Linked DNA regions of Tamandua tetradactyla. The protein of the gene in region 2 binds, or shares a complex with, the protein of the main gene of each other region. Links are inferred from orthologs where the notes say so. Each region holds a gene or a part of one and is shown on either strand. Other genes may lie near its edges.

Evidence for each region.
Region 1: the proteins of GHRHR (region 2) and GHRH are in contact, whole or in part, in a cryo-EM structure (PDB 7CZ5), measured with the Homo sapiens proteins. The link is inferred for Tamandua tetradactyla from reciprocal best matches to the Homo sapiens genes GHRHR and GHRH. Residues at the interface, in NP_000814.2 of Homo sapiens: Leu119, Ala120, Glu122, Glu123, Phe126, Ser127, Val129, Lys130, Tyr133, Val179, Lys182, Leu186, Phe187, Asp190, Thr192, Asp193, His194, Cys195, Phe197, His210, Thr213, Phe217, Ala271, Cys272, Asp274, Leu275, Asp276, Trp282, Ile285, Ile289; in NP_066567.1 of Homo sapiens: Tyr32, Ala33, Asp34, Ala35, Ile36, Phe37, Thr38, Asn39, Ser40, Tyr41, Arg42, Val44, Leu45, Gly46, Gln47, Leu48, Ser49, Ala50, Leu53.

The regions. Positions count from the first base shown.
Region 1 is NC_135327.1:14,938,417-14,946,582, forward strand, and holds the start of GHRH (somatoliberin), read left to right. Parts: upstream 1-4,462; 5' UTR 4,463-4,573; intron 4,574-7,511; 5' UTR 7,512-7,532; coding exon 7,533-7,612; intron 7,613-7,914; coding exon 7,915-8,019; intron 8,020-8,166. UniProt on the Homo sapiens protein: GRF is released by the hypothalamus and acts on the adenohypophyse to stimulate the secretion of growth hormone.
Region 2 is NC_135327.1:91,808,058-91,816,791, forward strand, and holds the start of GHRHR (growth hormone-releasing hormone receptor), read right to left. Parts: upstream 3,650-8,734; coding exon 3,593-3,649; intron 927-3,592; coding exon 824-926; intron 681-823; coding exon 573-680; intron 1-572.

The DNA.
Region 1 (8,166 bases), about 77 Mb from region 2:
GAAGAGGAAACTGAGGCTCAGGGAAGTCAAGTGACTTTACCTAAGTCCACCCCGTCCCCTCACTCTGACCAAGGATTCACAAGCACTCATATGGCATCTGCTGCTGCTGACTGCATAAAAAAGGGGCCGAGCAGGCCAGGGGGCAGGGAGAAAGGGGGAGCAGAAGGAGTCAAAGGACTCTGGGAGTCGGGACTCCAGGCCTCTCCCTTCCATTGCCAGTAGCCTCAGCTGGAAGCACTGCCATAATCCATGGAGGACGATAAAAGCAGCTTTTACAAAGCAGGGTCTGAGGTCCTCAGACAGGCCCCCATTGTCGACTTCCACTCCCCTCCCCACCCCCTTTCCCACTGCCTTTAGCGTCACCCTCTTTGAATGACTGGCTCGCACACATTGGAAATTTGCAACACAAATGCAGGGCTTGTCTCCCTCTCGGTGGAGTCCCACTGCCCCGACCCTCTGGGGTCTTTTGGAGCCTGCCATTCTCTAGGGCGCTTTCTTTTTACAAGATTGAGCCCCTAGCTCCTAGATGCAGCCGCTATCGCTAATTAATACCGGGTTAAAACATGTCCTGGGAAAGAGCACCGAGGACCTGGTGGCGGGGGTGGCTCTCTCACTGCTTCTTGGGGGGGTAGGGGTGGGGTGGAAAGGACAAGGAGGGCGGGGGGGAATCACTGGAGGGGCCTGCACCCTCATTCCCACCGCGCGTCAGCTCTTCTTGGCTTTCTCCCCCATGCCCTTCCTGAACAGGTCTGAGAATCCACTGTAAATAAAGCTTGTCACCAAGACTAGTCTCAGCTCTCCCTACCACCACCCCACCCAGCTTTTAGGGCTCAGTTCTGATCATAAGAACTATAAAAGCAGCTACCATTTGCCAAGAATCTATCAGACACTTTACAAGCATGTTTCTGAACCTCACAACAACCTGGAGTGGTAGGTGTTACTAACCCCATTGTACAGATGAGATAACAGAGGCTGGGAGAGATTAAGCGACCTGTCCAGAATCAGACAATTTGTAAGTGGCAGAACTGGTTTCAAATCCAGATCCTCTTGTTACCTAAGCCTGTACTCCTTTTCTAGACCCAGCGGCTTCTCTCCCCTCCTCTCTGATGCTCTCTCAGCTTTGTGTGACTCCGCTCTGCTCTCAGATATTGGAGCTTTCATGGCATGTTCCTCTCTCTCGAACTTCTGCCTGGAATAATTACTCGCTTCTCACATGCCCATTTCCTGCAGCTCACTGAAGACAAGCCGGGTACCACACATTCTGCTCTTCTCATGGCACCTAGGAAAATGCCCTGCCCCACTCCCCTAACAACAGAAAGGGGACCAGATGGTTCAGTGATGGACAGCTAACCCAACGAGCCTTGCGTGGTCCTAACTGGGTACTTAGGTGTTTGTGGGTTAAGGAAATAAGTGATGACTGAGCGTCTTTAAGAACCGGTGGGAGAGCCCTCCATCACTGCTGGCAGGCACGTAAGTGTTATAACAACCTTGGAAAACAGCTCGGCAGTTTCTTAAGAAGTTCAGTGTAAAGGGGGAAGAGTGAAATGAGACAAAATAAAGTGTCAATGGCCGAGAGATTCCAAACAGAGTCGAGAGGTTATCCTGGAGGTTATTCTTACGCATTAAGTAGATATCACCTTTCTAGTTAAGGTGTAATGGAGAGGCTGGAGGGAACTGCCTGAAAATGTAGAGCTGTGTTTCAGTAGCCATGTTTCTTGATGATGATTGTATAATGATATAGCTTTCACAATGTGACTGTGTGATTGTGAAAACCTTGTGTCTGATGCTCCTTATCTACCTTGTCAACAGACAAGTAGAACATATGGATTAAAAATAAATAATAGGGGGAACAAATGTTAAAATAAATTTGGTAGATTGAAATGCTGGTGATCAATGAAAGGGAGAAGTAAGGGGTATGGTATATATGAGTTTTTTCTGTTTTCTTTTTATTTCTTTTTCTGAATTGATGCAAATGTTCTGAGAAATGATCGTGATGACGAATATACAACTGTGATGATATTGTGAGTTATTTATATAACAAGAAAGGAATGATTATATGGTAAGAATGTTTGTATTTGTATGTGGTTATGTTTCACAAAAAAATGATTATGGTGAGAATACACAACTATATGATGATATTGTGAGCCACTGATTGTATACCATGTATGGACTGTATGTTTGTGAAGATTTGTCAATAAAAATATTTTTTAAAAAAAGTTCAGTGTACACTTACCATACAACCCAGTGAATCCACTCCTAAGTACCCACCCAAGAGAAATGAAAGCATATGTTCGCACAAAATCTTGTACTTGGATGTTCATAGCAGTATTATTCAGAATAGCCCCAAACTGCAAACAACTCGGATGTCCATCAACAAATGAATGGATAAATGAACTGCAATACAAGGGAATACTACCCAACAGGAAAAAGAAACAAACTACTGCTACATGGAATAACACGACTGAATCTTGATAGCATTATGCTGAGTGAAAGAAGCCAGACACACAAGAGTACATATTGTATGCTTCCATTTATATGAGCTTTCTAGTAAAGGAAAACCATAGAGACAGAAAGCAGATCAGTGGTGGCCTACAGCTGGTGTAGGCCATGGGAACTGACAACAAATGGGCTCTGGGGAATTTGCAGGGTTATGAAAGTGTTCCAAAACAGGATGGTGGTGCTGGCTGTACAACTGTATACATTTATGAAAACTCATTGAGCTGTTTACTTAAAACAGGTGAGTTTTATGGCATATTGATTATACGTCAATAAAACTGTTAAAGCTCTTTGAAAAGAAAAAGATAAGGAAGAAGAACTGATGGGACCAAGGCAGGGCCTCAGGAGAACATTAGCTTGAGGTGGAGCATGAGTTTGGGAGTCAGCCCACCTTTGCTGGAGTCCTGGCTTTATCCCTGACCAGCTCTGTGACTGCGATCAGTATGTAACTTTTCTTGTTGGTAGCAACAAAGCAGTAGTAATAGCTAATCGGTGAGGCTGACCCTATGTCAGGCCGGTACCCAACAGCTTCGACTGCTGAGTCCTTCACACCCACTTTACAGATGAGGAAACTGGGGTGAGACATGAAGTCCTTCTTGCAACACCTGGCACAGAGCCCCAACTGGGGTTGACTTCTGACCCCCACGGTTCTCCAGCTAACTCCATGTGTCTGGCTTCTGGGCTCTGGCCTGGCATCCAGTCTGGGTCCCCAGCTCCACGTGGTCCCTGGCTTGCATCCTCTAGTCCTTCTGACTCTCTGAGGAGAGTCCACAGACAGTTCCACCTGCTGCCTCTTGCTGTGTCCCAGGGGGTCCGGCCTGCCCTGATCACACTGTGTCCAGATGGGCAGAGCAACATGCCACTTAGTCCCTGCTTCTAGGAGAAGCAGTCCATGCTTGCTCTGTGTCAAGAATACCACTCAGTGCAAGCCAAGAAGCAGAATCACGAAATATTGTTGCTAGCAGGGTCCTTAGAAACAACTCACTTTTAACTGTGCCCCACAGGGGTGTCTAAGGGTCAGGTAAAGGGAGTCTCTGCTGCCTCCTCTTTAACCACAGCAGCCCCGTTTTCTATCTGTTTTATATACTGTGCTGCCACAGAAGATTTCTGAAGGAAGGGGGTATGCCATTTTTTAAAACAAGTTTGAAAGCTGATGTTCGGAGCCAACTCTCAAGTTTACAGGAAAAGAAATTGAGGCCTGGAGGGTAGAAGTAACTTGCTGAGGGTCACAGAGGTGGGGACTGACAGGCATGGGAGACGCAGCAGTTCTCCTGACTCTTCCCACATCGCCACAGAAAGCAGTGTGGGACACCGGTGTGTCTGCGTCACGTTTATATTATTCCAGAGGATTCCTTAGCCATATGCTAGGGAAATCTGAAAGCACAACATCTCTCCCAAGGTTTTCCATCTCCTTCCCTTCTCTTCACACATCTCAGAGGCGACTACTGATGCTTGGTTGCCTTGACACAAGATGAAGGAAGCTCCCGGGGCTAGCTGTCTAGACCAGCCTGTGACCGCAGCAGGCGCAAGTCAAACAGAGAAAAATCTTGATAATTGGACAAGGGAGAGAGCAAACAACTTTCTTCACTAAGGAGAGCAAAACGTTTATTATTTTGGCTCCCCTAAGGTGAAATAAAGTATCATCTGGACAAGACAAAATTATACGAATTTTTTAAAGACGCAAAATTATTGTTTTCAAGAACAAATGCATCCTTGGTGTTTCATTGTTTTGAGTACTCCATTTATTAGAGCAGCAGTATTACACACTCTATTCCTGCTGGAATAATATTGCAACTTTGACTTTTTTCTGTTCCCTCAAAGATAAAGGGAAAGGTCAGTAGGAGTCTTAATTTGCAAGGGGAAAAACCTCTTTCCCCTATTAGGGTTTGTCACTGTGATGCTAAAAATGGTCCTTTGGTTGACTTGTGGGTAATTGGTTCTCTGACGCTGACAATGCTTAGGAAAATGAAGGTATAAATGGTGGGAGTGCCACGCAGCCGCCGGAGCAGACACCGAGGCTGAGGTCCGTGGAACTGGAGCAGCGACTCATAGCAGAGGGAGACCTGTCACATCGGAGGTGAGCAGGGGTGGCCCTGGGGCTGGGCTGGATGGGGGCGAGAAAAGTTGACCTTCTCACCAACTCAGAGATGCCAAGTCAAGGGGGTCCGGCACCACCCTCTTTGCCCATTGACTGGTGAGTACATTTGTGCCCCTTTCTGGGTAAAATAAGCCCTCTTTAGAGGCTCTGGCACATGCTTGAGGGCTGGCACCAGTTGAGGATTATTTTGGATGCCGTAGCACCTCAACCCATGGGGAAGTGTTTGGTAGGCATCTGTTGAAGGCGAGTGAGGTGTCAGTGTACCTTCAAGGGCGTGCAAGCACACTTCTGGGGCAAGGCATGAGCTGGCTAATTATCTTGTCAACGATGGGATTCTGCCATGGATCCGAGAGAAGCCAAGTAGCTGTGCAAATCAATACTGCCCAGAACCGGTTCAACCTAATTGCCTGGGAATTGATAACATTTTGCTTTCTTGCTCAGTTGCAGCTGTGCTCTTTACTCTAGGTTTTAGACACAATTATCCATCCTTGGTGCCCTCCATTACCCCATCACTGTTATCTCAATCCTTGCTTTAATGAGTCTGATGTATTCACCCTTTCCAGAAGACAGGGTGTCCCTCACTCTTTTGGATGACAGTTAAGATGCTACCTCAGTAGTAACAGATTTCCTTTGACTTAGAGCACTATTGGTGAGACAGTTTTTAAACTGGGTTGGGATGCCATTGCTTTAGGCTTCCCAAATTACAAAGCAGAATATTTAGGAAAGTTTTGTAAAAGTTTCTTTTTTCCTACATTTTCAAAAGTGGCCTCACTAGTCTTTGCACTTGAGATCTGACTTCTGTCTCTCGCTGAAGCTGCATCTGCAGAATTCTCATGGCATTCTTGGCTTGAAGGCTGGCAAAAGGTGCCAACTAATGAAGAGCAAGTGCCCATTTATCCTGAATCCAAATGACTTCGAATGCATCTAATCACAGAATTAGTTTGTAAGCACAGCAGAAAATTGGCTGGTATTCATAATGATAGATAATAAACTCTAAAATGCCTTTGGAGTCATCTAGAAGTCATTGGTATTGCTGTTGGGTTGGTGTCACACTTAATTCAGGGAGTTCTAGCTCCCTAGAATGATCATGTGGAATGTATCTGTCAGTAGCGATTTTATCCTCTGTTGCCCAAGCTCTTTTCTTATTTTACCATGAGCTGGATAATTCTGATTGCTTCCCATCTTTGTCCAGTGGGATTTTGCAGCCCCGTGGATAACAGTCTCATAGGCCAGAGGTTGCAGTGGAGGCTTGACCCAAACCTAGGGCACCTGCTTTACCACACACGTGTCTCTTGGTTAGCCAGAATGTACAATTACTCAGTCTCATTTTGAGAGCAAGATGTTGCCATATTTACTGTTACTTGACCCCCGGTCCTGCACTCTTACAGGGACCTTCAACTCCCTGAAACCACTGTGGGTGCACAGGGAGGCACCAAACAGGTATTCCTGTTTGTCCCTCTTTCTCCTTCTCCTAGAGCCCCAGTGACAAGGAGTGAATGATTTCCTTTTTCTTTTTTTTCAGCTGTTTCCCACGTGCAGGTGATGATTTCTGAGGCGCACCATGAATAGGGAGGGCTGTGAATAGGGCATTGTAGCCGGGAGGCTGCTGAGGGGAGCAGGAGGAAGTCTACTGGCCTGGGAATCAATCGGGAGGCCCATCCTGAAGTGCCCACTCCTAAACTAATTTGATGAAGGGCCATGGGAAAGGGCCCATCTCCTCCCCGGGCTTGTTTTCTTGGCTGTACAATGGGGGTCATGATACCTGCTCTGGGGGGCGAGTGTGAGCACGGGCTGTGTGGACCAGGGGGGCACAGGGGCTGGGAACCACTGAGGGGGACTCTAGGGGGAAGGGGTGGGAGGCAGAGGGAGAACTCTGAAGGGAGAGGGCTTCTGAGCAGGAGAGTGAAGTGTCTGGGGGGCTGGATGTGCCCAAATCTTTAGAAGATCATCAGCAAAGGAGGCAAGAAAGCCCAGGCTACAGTGCATTGTGTTAAGGGGCCCTCCTTGCTCCTGAAGACCTCTCTGCTTAGGAAATTTTACTGCCAGAGAAGCAGCCTGGACCAGGCTGGGGGAGCCAGGGAGTATGGTGCTACAAGGAGGAGGATGGCAAACTACTGGAGATCCTTGGTCCGAGGAGCAAAGGCTTAAGTCAGATGCAAAACTCATCTAAGGGTCTCATCCTGTGGATGAAGGTGTGAGGCTCTGGGAGGCACAGCAGGTGGATGTGAAAAGGGCAGCCCTGGGGGCAGATACAATATTCTAGTCTTTTCTCTAGCCCCAAGTCTTTATCAGAATAGTACAGACTTAACAAATATTTGCAGGATAAGGAGATATGTGGGCCTGGCAAGATGAGAAAAACCTCATAACTATAAGAGCTGCCTGGAGATAGGACAGACTGGCTTGGAGTTAGTGAGCTCCCCGTCATCACTGACCAGCGAATGCCAGAGTGGGAGCTGGAGGGCTGCCTGTTGGAGGCGGTGGTGGAGGGAACAGATTCCTGAAGCCTGGGTGGCTGCTCCCTCCAGCTCTGGAGATGTGGGACTCTCAGACCTCAGTGAGCAGACCTGAAGGGTGCTCCCTCTGGGACCAAGGCATCCCTGGGTTAGTTGAGACCTCAGGACCTGGGAGGAAAGGGGTGATGCTCTGAGAGGGCAAGTAAGTCCAGAAAAGAAAGGTGGATTTCACCAGTGCTAGCCCTGCCTGCCAGAAACCACAACTCGGCTCTAGGTGAGTGGTGGGGCCTCTACGTGGCTGGTGGGGCCTCTGGCGCCTGGGACAAAAGGTCAACGGGGCAGCTTTATCATGCCCATTTTCCAGATGGAGAAAATGAGGTCAGAGCCCATGACTGCGAGAGCCAGAAAAGGGCACACCAGTGGCCGTGGCTGCCCCAGACCCTCCCCCCACTGTCATTTTCCAGGTGCCTGCCCCGGAGCGAAGGATGATGCCCTGGATACTCCTCCTCATGATCCTCGCCCTCAGCAGCAGCTCCTACTGCTCCCTGCCCTCCCTGCCCCTCAGGTACGTGGCCTGGCCCACAGCGCCTGGGGTTCTGGCCATTCCCAAGCCATCCCTGCCACAGAGGGCTGCGGGATGCAGAAGCAAGTCGTTAGCTGTCCCCTGCCTATCTCCCCATCTCCGGGAAGGGGGCAGACCCTGAGCTCCAGAGAGGCCACCCAGGCCTGGGTCTGAGTCAATCTGGGGGTGAGCTGGACAAAGGGCAAGAGAAGGATCTTGAGGAGACATAGTGAGTACAGGCCCCCAGTATTTTCTTGCCTGGCCCCGGCCACCCTGCCCTCTGACCTCTGACCCCCTCGACACAGGACGCGGCGGTATGCAGATGCCATCTTCACCAATGGCTACCGGAAGGTACTGGGCCAGCTGTCTGCCCGCAAACTACTCCAGGACATCATGAGCAGGCAGCAGGGGTAAGCAAAGGTTCTAGCAATTTCTTCCTACACCCCCTGTAAGTCAGAGTTTGGGGGCTCTGATGCAGGATGCGAGGGCCCAAGTTTGGGCTCTTTCCTCGAAACACATCTATCATTTCTGGCTTTACCATAGTGGAAGGGCCCCAA
Region 2 (8,734 bases):
CCTGGTCCACACCCCAGCACCTTCTCCCTCTGACCTTAGAGTCGCCATCTGTGAAACAGAGAGAATCATTCTCTTGAACTGACCGCAGAGGAGTTGGAAGGGTACAGAGTTGGGCCCTGGGTGTCCTAAGGGCGGGGGGATGAAAGGAGGCCCCCTCTGTTCCCCTGGAGAGGCTGTGCCAACCCAGACATGCACGCCAGGTTGGTAAGGCAGAGCAGCCAAGGGAGCTTTTTACCCACGCCCCTCCAGGGAGTCGTCCCAGGCAGTTGTTGTCACCCTGTACATTTGGCAGCCAGCCTTCCTGCAAACATCTGGGAGCACTTCTAGTGCCAGGCACAGGCCTGCACCTGGATGCTTCACTCTCTGATCCCTGCCCCCTGTGAGGTAAATGCTCTTATTCTCCCCAGTTCACAGGTAAGGAAGCTGAAGCTGGGATGGGATGACCAACTTGCCCATGGTCACGCGGAGAGATTGAAGGTCGGTATTCAAATCCAGGTCTGCCTGCCTCCAGAGGCCAGGATTTGTCCATCTTGTTCTGCCATCAACAGATGCAACCACCTGAGACCACTCACCTGGCTCGGGGCTGAAGTGAGAGAAGAAATCTGGGCAGGGGAGGGTGACCCAGTCGCCAGAGCCTGCCACCGGCCAGCACAGCAGGCCATCCCAGGTCCTAGGGCAGCCTGGACAGAGAGATGGGAGCCACAGAGACTCAGCCCAGGGGAAAGGCTCACCCAGCATTCGGAGTGGTGAGGCTGGAGGAGATTAAAGGGTCAGAGAATTCTCCTCTCCCCTTCAGCCCCCAATTCCCTTCCAAGCCCTATACCCAGGGTGGTGTTGGGCAGCCCTTCTGCTGCTTGTTGGCATGCATGCTCATCCTCTCTCAATTGCATGATGAAGTCACATTCTGGGTGCACAAGGCCCAATACCTGCAGAAAAGAGGTAACAGGATGAGCCAAGCACATTGGGAACTTATTCTGGGTCTTCGGTCCAAATGGTCTGAGGGTAGAGACAAAGCCTGACTTGTTTCTGTGCTCTTGATCCTAAGCACAGAGCTTGGCTCACAGCATGTAAAAGGTGTGCCGAATGTATGCTTGGATAAATGGGTGGATGGGTGGGTGGGTGGATGATGGATGGACAGATAATGGATGGATGGATGGGTGGGTGGACAGATGAAGTGATGTTTGAATAAATGGATGGATGCGTGGTTAGAAAGATGGATGAATAATAGTTATGTGAATAGAGACATCAATAGATTAATAAGTATATTGAACACATATGCAACATTTCTAAGTCCTGTGGGTCCCCCTGTTATTCCAGCAATGGCTGCAGTGTTCAGTTCCTCGTGGATTCCATTTGGCTTTATGCACATGCAATTAGACAGCACACCATGTGCCTCTCACTTCCTGTCCCAGCCTCATCGGGTGTTACAGCATGGAATAGCCACAGGAACCCACTCCACACTCATGCATGCAAAATCCAGAACTGCAGGAGGGAATAGGAGTCAATAGATACATTTTTCTCCTTTTCACCTTGTGGAAGCAAATTCTGAGACACCATTAACGAAAGTCCTTATAAGATACCAACGACTCATCTTCCTTTCCTATTTTACTCCCCCTGTTCTGCTCTCATGATCACTGAAATCAATTCCATATAAACTACATACATGGGTGCCCTTGTTCCACGCTCTGCTTTCATGTGGGTGAGCACATGGGAGGGACCCAGGACACTTGCTACAGGCCAATGGGCTGGGAGAGGACATGGAGGCCCAGCCCGGGAGATGGACCCACCCCTACCCGTCCTGCCCCTGCAGAGGAGGGCACTCCCCTCCCAACCTGTTGACCCCACTTCCAAACCCCAGCTTGGGCTCACCTGCTCTGTCATCTCCGGCTTGGCCCTGCAGGGCCTCGGGCTGTACATGCCCACTGTCCAGACCCCAGCTCTCCATTTTGACCAGTATCTCAGACTGTTCTTGGCTTCTTCTCCAGGACTCGTGGCCACAGGGCCATCTGAGCACAGAGCCTCAGCCTCATTACTCCCTTCCCCACCTCCCCCACAGCATGCTGAGCACTGGAGTCAGGGGAGGTGAGGAGTGCCCGAGATGTCCTGTCTGGGACTTTTCTTACCCAGTAGCCTAACTGTAACCTGAAATCTCCATTTGTCCTTCCTCCTCCTCCACTGACTGGCAAGCTCCATCCCTCCCTGGAACATCTTCTCAGGGTCTGCCTGGAGAACTACTGAGGTCGGAGGGACTAGGGCCCTGGTTGGCTGGCTTCCCACCAAGAGTGTGGACCGGCTGTGCCCCAGACTTCCTCAGAGAGGAAGATACTGAGAAACCCAACTAATGGGACAGGAAGTGTGGTCACAGGGCAAGCTGCATGGGGGGTGGGAGCACCCCAACCTATACCCTGTGTCCCACCCACCCTGAGAGGAGACTCCATCACCCTGGGCACTCCCGGGGTCCCTGGGAATGGAGCCTGCAGTGCTGACTGATTGGTTCTAGTCCTGCTGGAGGACCCAGGAGAGGTCTCAGTTCACTCTCCTGAAAATAGAGCTATTGCCCTGGGTGCACACAGATGACAGGGACGAGGATTCCTTCCCTACAGATGAAGAGGGCATGTTCTGTACCCCTGGGCCCGGCCTCGACAAATCAGATCACAATCAATGGACACAGTTTTCCCTTTTTACAAAAGAGGCAAGGGAGGCTCAGGAAGGGTTAGGTACCTGCCCCGGGTCACACAGCTAGTTTTCTGGTGCCAGGATTCAAGTACGAAGCCTGTGCCCTAAGGGCCAGGGCAGAGAAGTAGTGGGAAGGGGTGGCAGCCCCATAAGGCCAGGGTAGCTGAAGCACTGGAGGAAAAATGAGACCTCTGTCTGCCTGGACTCCGACAAGCTCCCCGCAGGCGCTGGCTTCCCCTCCCCATCCCTGCTATCACATCTAGCCACTTCCTGGAAAATGTGCTGGGAGATCACAGCACATTCAGGGAAGGCCCTCTGTCCTGGTGCCCCATTCCTCAGCTCTCTAGACCATAGAGCAAGATGTGGCTGCCAAACGCTCTGCCAGCCCCCAGGGGCACTGCCAGGAGAAGAATCCCCTAAATGCTGGAGGCGAGCAGCTGCTTCTCCATGTACTACTCGGGACCTTGCTCAGTCTCAGCATCAGACTCTTAAAAGGAAACCAGCCACTTGGAGTGTGGCTCAAGGGAGTTATGGGGACAGGGAAGGGTCTGGAAAACCTATCAGAGGAAGCGCGTGTGTAGGAATTGGGGGGTGTAGCTTAGAGAAAGTAGACTTGAGGTGAGTACTTTGTCTTGCCAATTCTGAAGCAGCTTCTTGTGCCTGCAGAGGGCATAAACAGGCTCTGGGAGGAACAGTGGGGAGCGGGGCTCAGCTCGGCACTGGGGAGATCTAGTCAGAGCTACCCAGAAATGGAACTGCTGGCCTCGGGGAAGGAAGGAGACTGCTTAGTAGAGATCCTGCATGGAGGAAGGGCAGTGGGGTCTCCACCAGGCTCCGGTTGGTCTCCCAGCAGCCCTATGGCTCCCAGACCCGGAGCCCCGCGGGAGAGGCAGGAGGGTCTGAGCAGGCTACTCACGATTGGAAATGGGCTCAGTAAGCAGAGGAGGCAAGTGCCCCATGTCCGGCTGTCCATGCTGGGGACTCAGCAGAGGTGGTCCTCTTCCCTCTCCCACATGCCCTCTCCTGCTGCCACCGCCCGCCACCCTCTGCGTCCCTTCTCAGGCTGCTGTTTGCATAAGCAAGAGCTAGAACTGGCTGAATATTCACCAGGACTGCAGGATGAGGTTTCCAACTCAGCCCTGGCCTAGGCTGGGACTCTGTGTCCACAGCAGGGAGGGGCTGAGGCCCCCACCTCCTTCCGTGCCGTTCGTAAGTCTACCTATGTGTCTGTCCTGATGGCAAGGGCCCAGAGACATGACAGCCATAGGAACCTGCCTTGCGGCAGTTATTCAATATCCTTTACCATTTTGCCCTCTGGGCCCAGCCACTTGCTAGCCTACATAGTAGAGGGAGCCCCCAGCCTCCAAATGACGGGCCCTGGGGGATGAGAGAGGAGACCTGGCCCCTGCCCCCCGGGGAGCTCCCAGACCAGCTGATGATTCCAGCTGAGTCCACAGGGCTGAGGACTGAGCTCAGAGCTGGGGGGATGGAGCCAGTGAAGAGGGTAGGGCAGGAAGAAGGAGCTTAGCAGAGGAGCCCCAAGCACCAGCGTGGGCCAGCCTAGAAGGACCGCAGAACTTCACAAGAATACCTGCCTGGGTGATGAGGGGAAATCTGTAAGTTTTCAGGCCCTGGGCTTCACCTGGGGGCCGGTCAAGTATCTCAGGAGCCCCTCAGGACAGCAAGGAGAGGTAAGCTTGATGGAGAGCCTGGCGAGGCACTACAAAGCTAGGCTAGCTGAGCCCGGGACCTCTGGGGCACAAAGACTTATCAGTACCAGCAATAAGAAGACTATACAGCCCCAGAAAACATTTTGAACGTTTGTTGTCTGGTCATTATTACAGTTTTAGACCTCAAAACGTGGGCTCCCAAAAGGCCAGGCTTAAAGACAGTTCTAAATTGCCCTAGATCCTGCAGAACATGAAATGTGGAAGCAGATTTGATATTTGAGGGCCCTAAGCATCCGAAGCCCTGGGAAGCCCTGAGACTTGCCTGCAGGTCTTCATTCCCCGCAGCTGTAGGCCCGGACGGAGGCAGTGTCAGCACGCATGTTTGCAGGCTTGACGCATTCCGCAAATGATGCACTGTTCCCCACCCCCGCCACATCTGGATTGAGGAATCGTTTTACATCAGCAGGGTTTTATTTTTCCGTATTTGTCCACTGCCAAGAAAACATTAAATGAAAGGATTTTGAAAATAAAACGAGAGCAACACCCAAGCCCCACCACCCCATACCCTTGGACGAGTGTTTCCATGTGTTTGCTGTGATGGTGAAAGCGCACATTTTCAGGGTGATACAGAAGAAAGACTCACCTGTTGGGAGACCAGAATGTTGAGAGGGTAGACCTTAAAGGAAAAGTTGCAACCTCATATCCCTCAGCTCCAAATAGGTAACAGGCCAAGGGCAAATGTTAGGATTATCACCACTGATAATTAGTGTCGAAATCAGTAGCATTAATGATGATTAATAATTGATAGTGGCACATTAATAATAGTTATTATTATCTGAATTAGTGGTTCTTAACCAGGAGCAATTTTGTCCCCTGGGGGACAGGGCAATGTCTAGAGACATCTTTCACTGTCACCACCCAGAGTGGAGGAGAGTGGGGGAAGTGGCAAGGTGGGACTTGCATTTAGTGGGTAGAGGCCAGGGCTGCTGCTGAATTCCCTACAATGCAGAGGATGACACCTCCCCGCCGCCACCAGCTAAAACATTTTCCAGTCCGAAATATTAATAGTACCAAGGTTGAGAAATCTTGACCCAAAGGTTTGTATTCCCAGGGTTCTTCCAGGCCTGTCATTCTTTTTTAATAGCCCAGGGTCACGGTACTCCATTCTAGCTCTCTATACTCTAGGTCCAGATTCTAGACCCATTGCTTGCTATCTATGTGACCTTGAGCAAGATATTTAATCTTTATGAGCCTCAGTTTCCCCATCTGAAAAATGGAGATAATCCTACTATTACCTTCCTTGTAGAATTGATGGGATGAATAAAGAAGGAAAGGCGCATAGAGCACCCAGGCAGGGACCATCTCACAGTCGGCGGCCTTGATGGTAGCATGTGACAAGGATGGACCACCAACAAATAAAGTAGGGACAATTGATTCTTTGTCTGAAAAAAATAAGATTAGACCTCTGGCTCACATTTACACGTATAAACTGAAGGTTTAAAGTCTAACTATAAAGTAGCAAAATAAAAAGAATTTTTCAAATAATAGAAATTTATTTTATGTCCTTAGAATAAAGGAGGTTTTCCTATGTGAAAAATATAAAGGAAAGATCATTAAGTTTGAACACATCGACATCAAAAAAGTATGTGCAAGGGCAGGCCATGGTGGCTCAGCAGGCTAAGTTCTTGCCTGCCATGCCGGAGACCCAGGTTCATTTCCCGGTGCCCGCCTATGCAAAAAAACAAAAGTATGTGCAAGAAAAGACACCATAGATTAAAAGTAAGCAAGCCATATACTCAGAGAAATATTTACAAAAAAAATTTTAAGTAACGAAAGTATAGTACCAAAAGTAGATAAAGAATATCTAAAAATTAATAGTAAAGAGTAAAATAATCCAATAGAAAAGGGAGCAAAGAATAAAACAGGCAATTCATGAAAGAAGTAAAGCATAAGGTCAATAAACAGATGAAGAATTGTGCAAATTCACTGATACTTAGGAAAATTAGAATTAAAATAATAATGAGCTACCTTTATCCCCTATCACATTGCCTGAAATTTTAGTGTCTGATAATATGATGTTTGGAGGATACTGTGGGGAAATATGTACTTTCACACTGTACTGATGGGAGTGAACACTGGAGCTGCCATTTTGAAAAGCAATTTGATGCTTTCTATCAAATCTAAAAATGAACATAACTTATAAATCAGAAATTCTATTTATGGGTATTTTCCCCAAAAAGCATATTATTTATAATATGTAGTAAAAATCTAGGAACAACACAAATGTCTAGGAAAAAGAGACATAAACAAAATGAGATATGGTCATACAATGCAATACTTTATAGCAGTTTAAAGAAATGAACTAAATCTACATATCTGAGCATGGAGCTGTCTCAAAAATATATTTTGAGGAACTTCTGCGTCTGGCTCTAGTAGAGTAACAGGGACCGTTCTACCCTCCTGCCCTAGCAACAAGAAATCCTAACAAAACATACAAAGTATTGGGCTTTTAGACACTGAAAAACAAACAAGCCAAGATCTGCAGTATCTTTGTAGATACCTTTGGCTGAGTACCTACCTGTGAGTATGTGAGAGGAAATTAAGCAAGACTGGAGAAAGAATGTCTGGAGTGGAGTAGGCAGAGCTAGATCTCAGAATTGCTGGAAATACTTTGAACTTCACCAGTTCAAGTGGAAAGACCTTGTAACAAACAGGGCATGGGGTAGAATCCTCAAAATAGTATCACTTTAGTAATGGAACTAAGTTAGACCTCGAATAAGGGTATGCAAGACCCACCCTAGCAAATCTTAAAAGCAAACTTCAAAAGGCTCCAAAACATTCCATTGTCCACCGGGGGAGAAAATCCAACACTACTAAAATGAATAAAACAAAATTCAGCAAATCACATGGTAATGTTCACATCTGACACCCAATAAAAAATTACCAAGCATGCAAGGAGGCAAGAAAATATGACACATAACTAGGAAAAGAGTAATTCAATAGAAACAAACCCAGATGTGACAAAGCTAATGGGAATAGCAAACAAAGATGGTAAAATGGTTATTATAAACATGCTCCATACATGCAAGGAGGAAAAGCAAAACCTGACCATGTGAGAAGAGAAATGGAAGCTATAAAAAAATGATTCAAATTCACTTTATGAAAATGAAAAATACAGTATCTGAAATGAAAAGTATACACTGGCTGGGACTAACATCAGATTAGACATTTCAGAAAAAAAGAACAATGAACTTGAAGATATCACAACAAAAACCATCTAGAACGAAAAACAAAGAGAAAAAATACTAAAGGAAAAGGGCTGGAAAAAAGAACACAACATAAATCACTTTGGGGAAGCTGTCAGGTGGTCTAACATATGTGTAATTGGAATTCTAGAAAAAAACAAAGGGTTCAGAATAAACATTTGAAGAAATAATGACTACAGATTTTCCACAGTTGATGAAAACTATAAGCCCATTGGATCCAAGTAGTTCAGTCAACAGAAAACAGAATAACCATAAAGAAAATCCCTCCAAGGCACATTATATTGAATTACTGAAAACTGGTGACTCTTATCAGCAACTGAAGGGAAAAGATTCATTGTGCGCAAAGAAGCAAAGATAAGAATTAAAGCCAACTTCTTGTCAAAAACTATGCAAGTCGGGGGAGTCATGGATACACATCTTTGAGGTACTGAAAGAAGAAAAACTATCAAACTAGAACTCTTTATCTAGTGAAAATGTCTTTCACAAATGAGCAAAATAAAGACCTTTTCAGTGAAACAAAAACAAGAAAATTCATTACCAAAAGACTACTAACAAGAGCTGTTAAAGGAAGTTTTTCAAGCCAAAAGGAAAATGATGGCAGGTAAAAATTTTTAGAATAACACTAAGAAATAGAAAATCTTGGAAATGGTGAATAAAAGGATGAATATAATTTTTGAAAAGTTTTACATTCTTAAAAGGTAATCGATGGCTTAAAGCAAAATTAAAGTAATGGTTATATTTTATAGCATATGGAGAGGTAAAAAAGTATGAAAATGATAATAAAAAATTTGGAGGGAGAAAATGAAAGTATAAAGTTAAGAACTGCTTATTCTTTATTAAATGAGACATATTTTAAGGTGCTTTAATAAATTAAGGGTATATATTAGAAATCCTTGAGTTCCCACTAAAAAAAATCAGAGATATAGTTAATTAGCCAATAGTGGAGATAAAATGAAACTGATTAACCCTAAAGAAGGAAGAAAGAAAAAAGAAGAAATGGGACAAATAAAGAGCGAATAGCAAAATGATAGAGGTAAATCCAGCAGCATAATGAATAAATTAAATTAAATAGTCTATTCATCCCAATTAAAGAGATTGTCAGATTGAAAGTTAGAGCAAAAT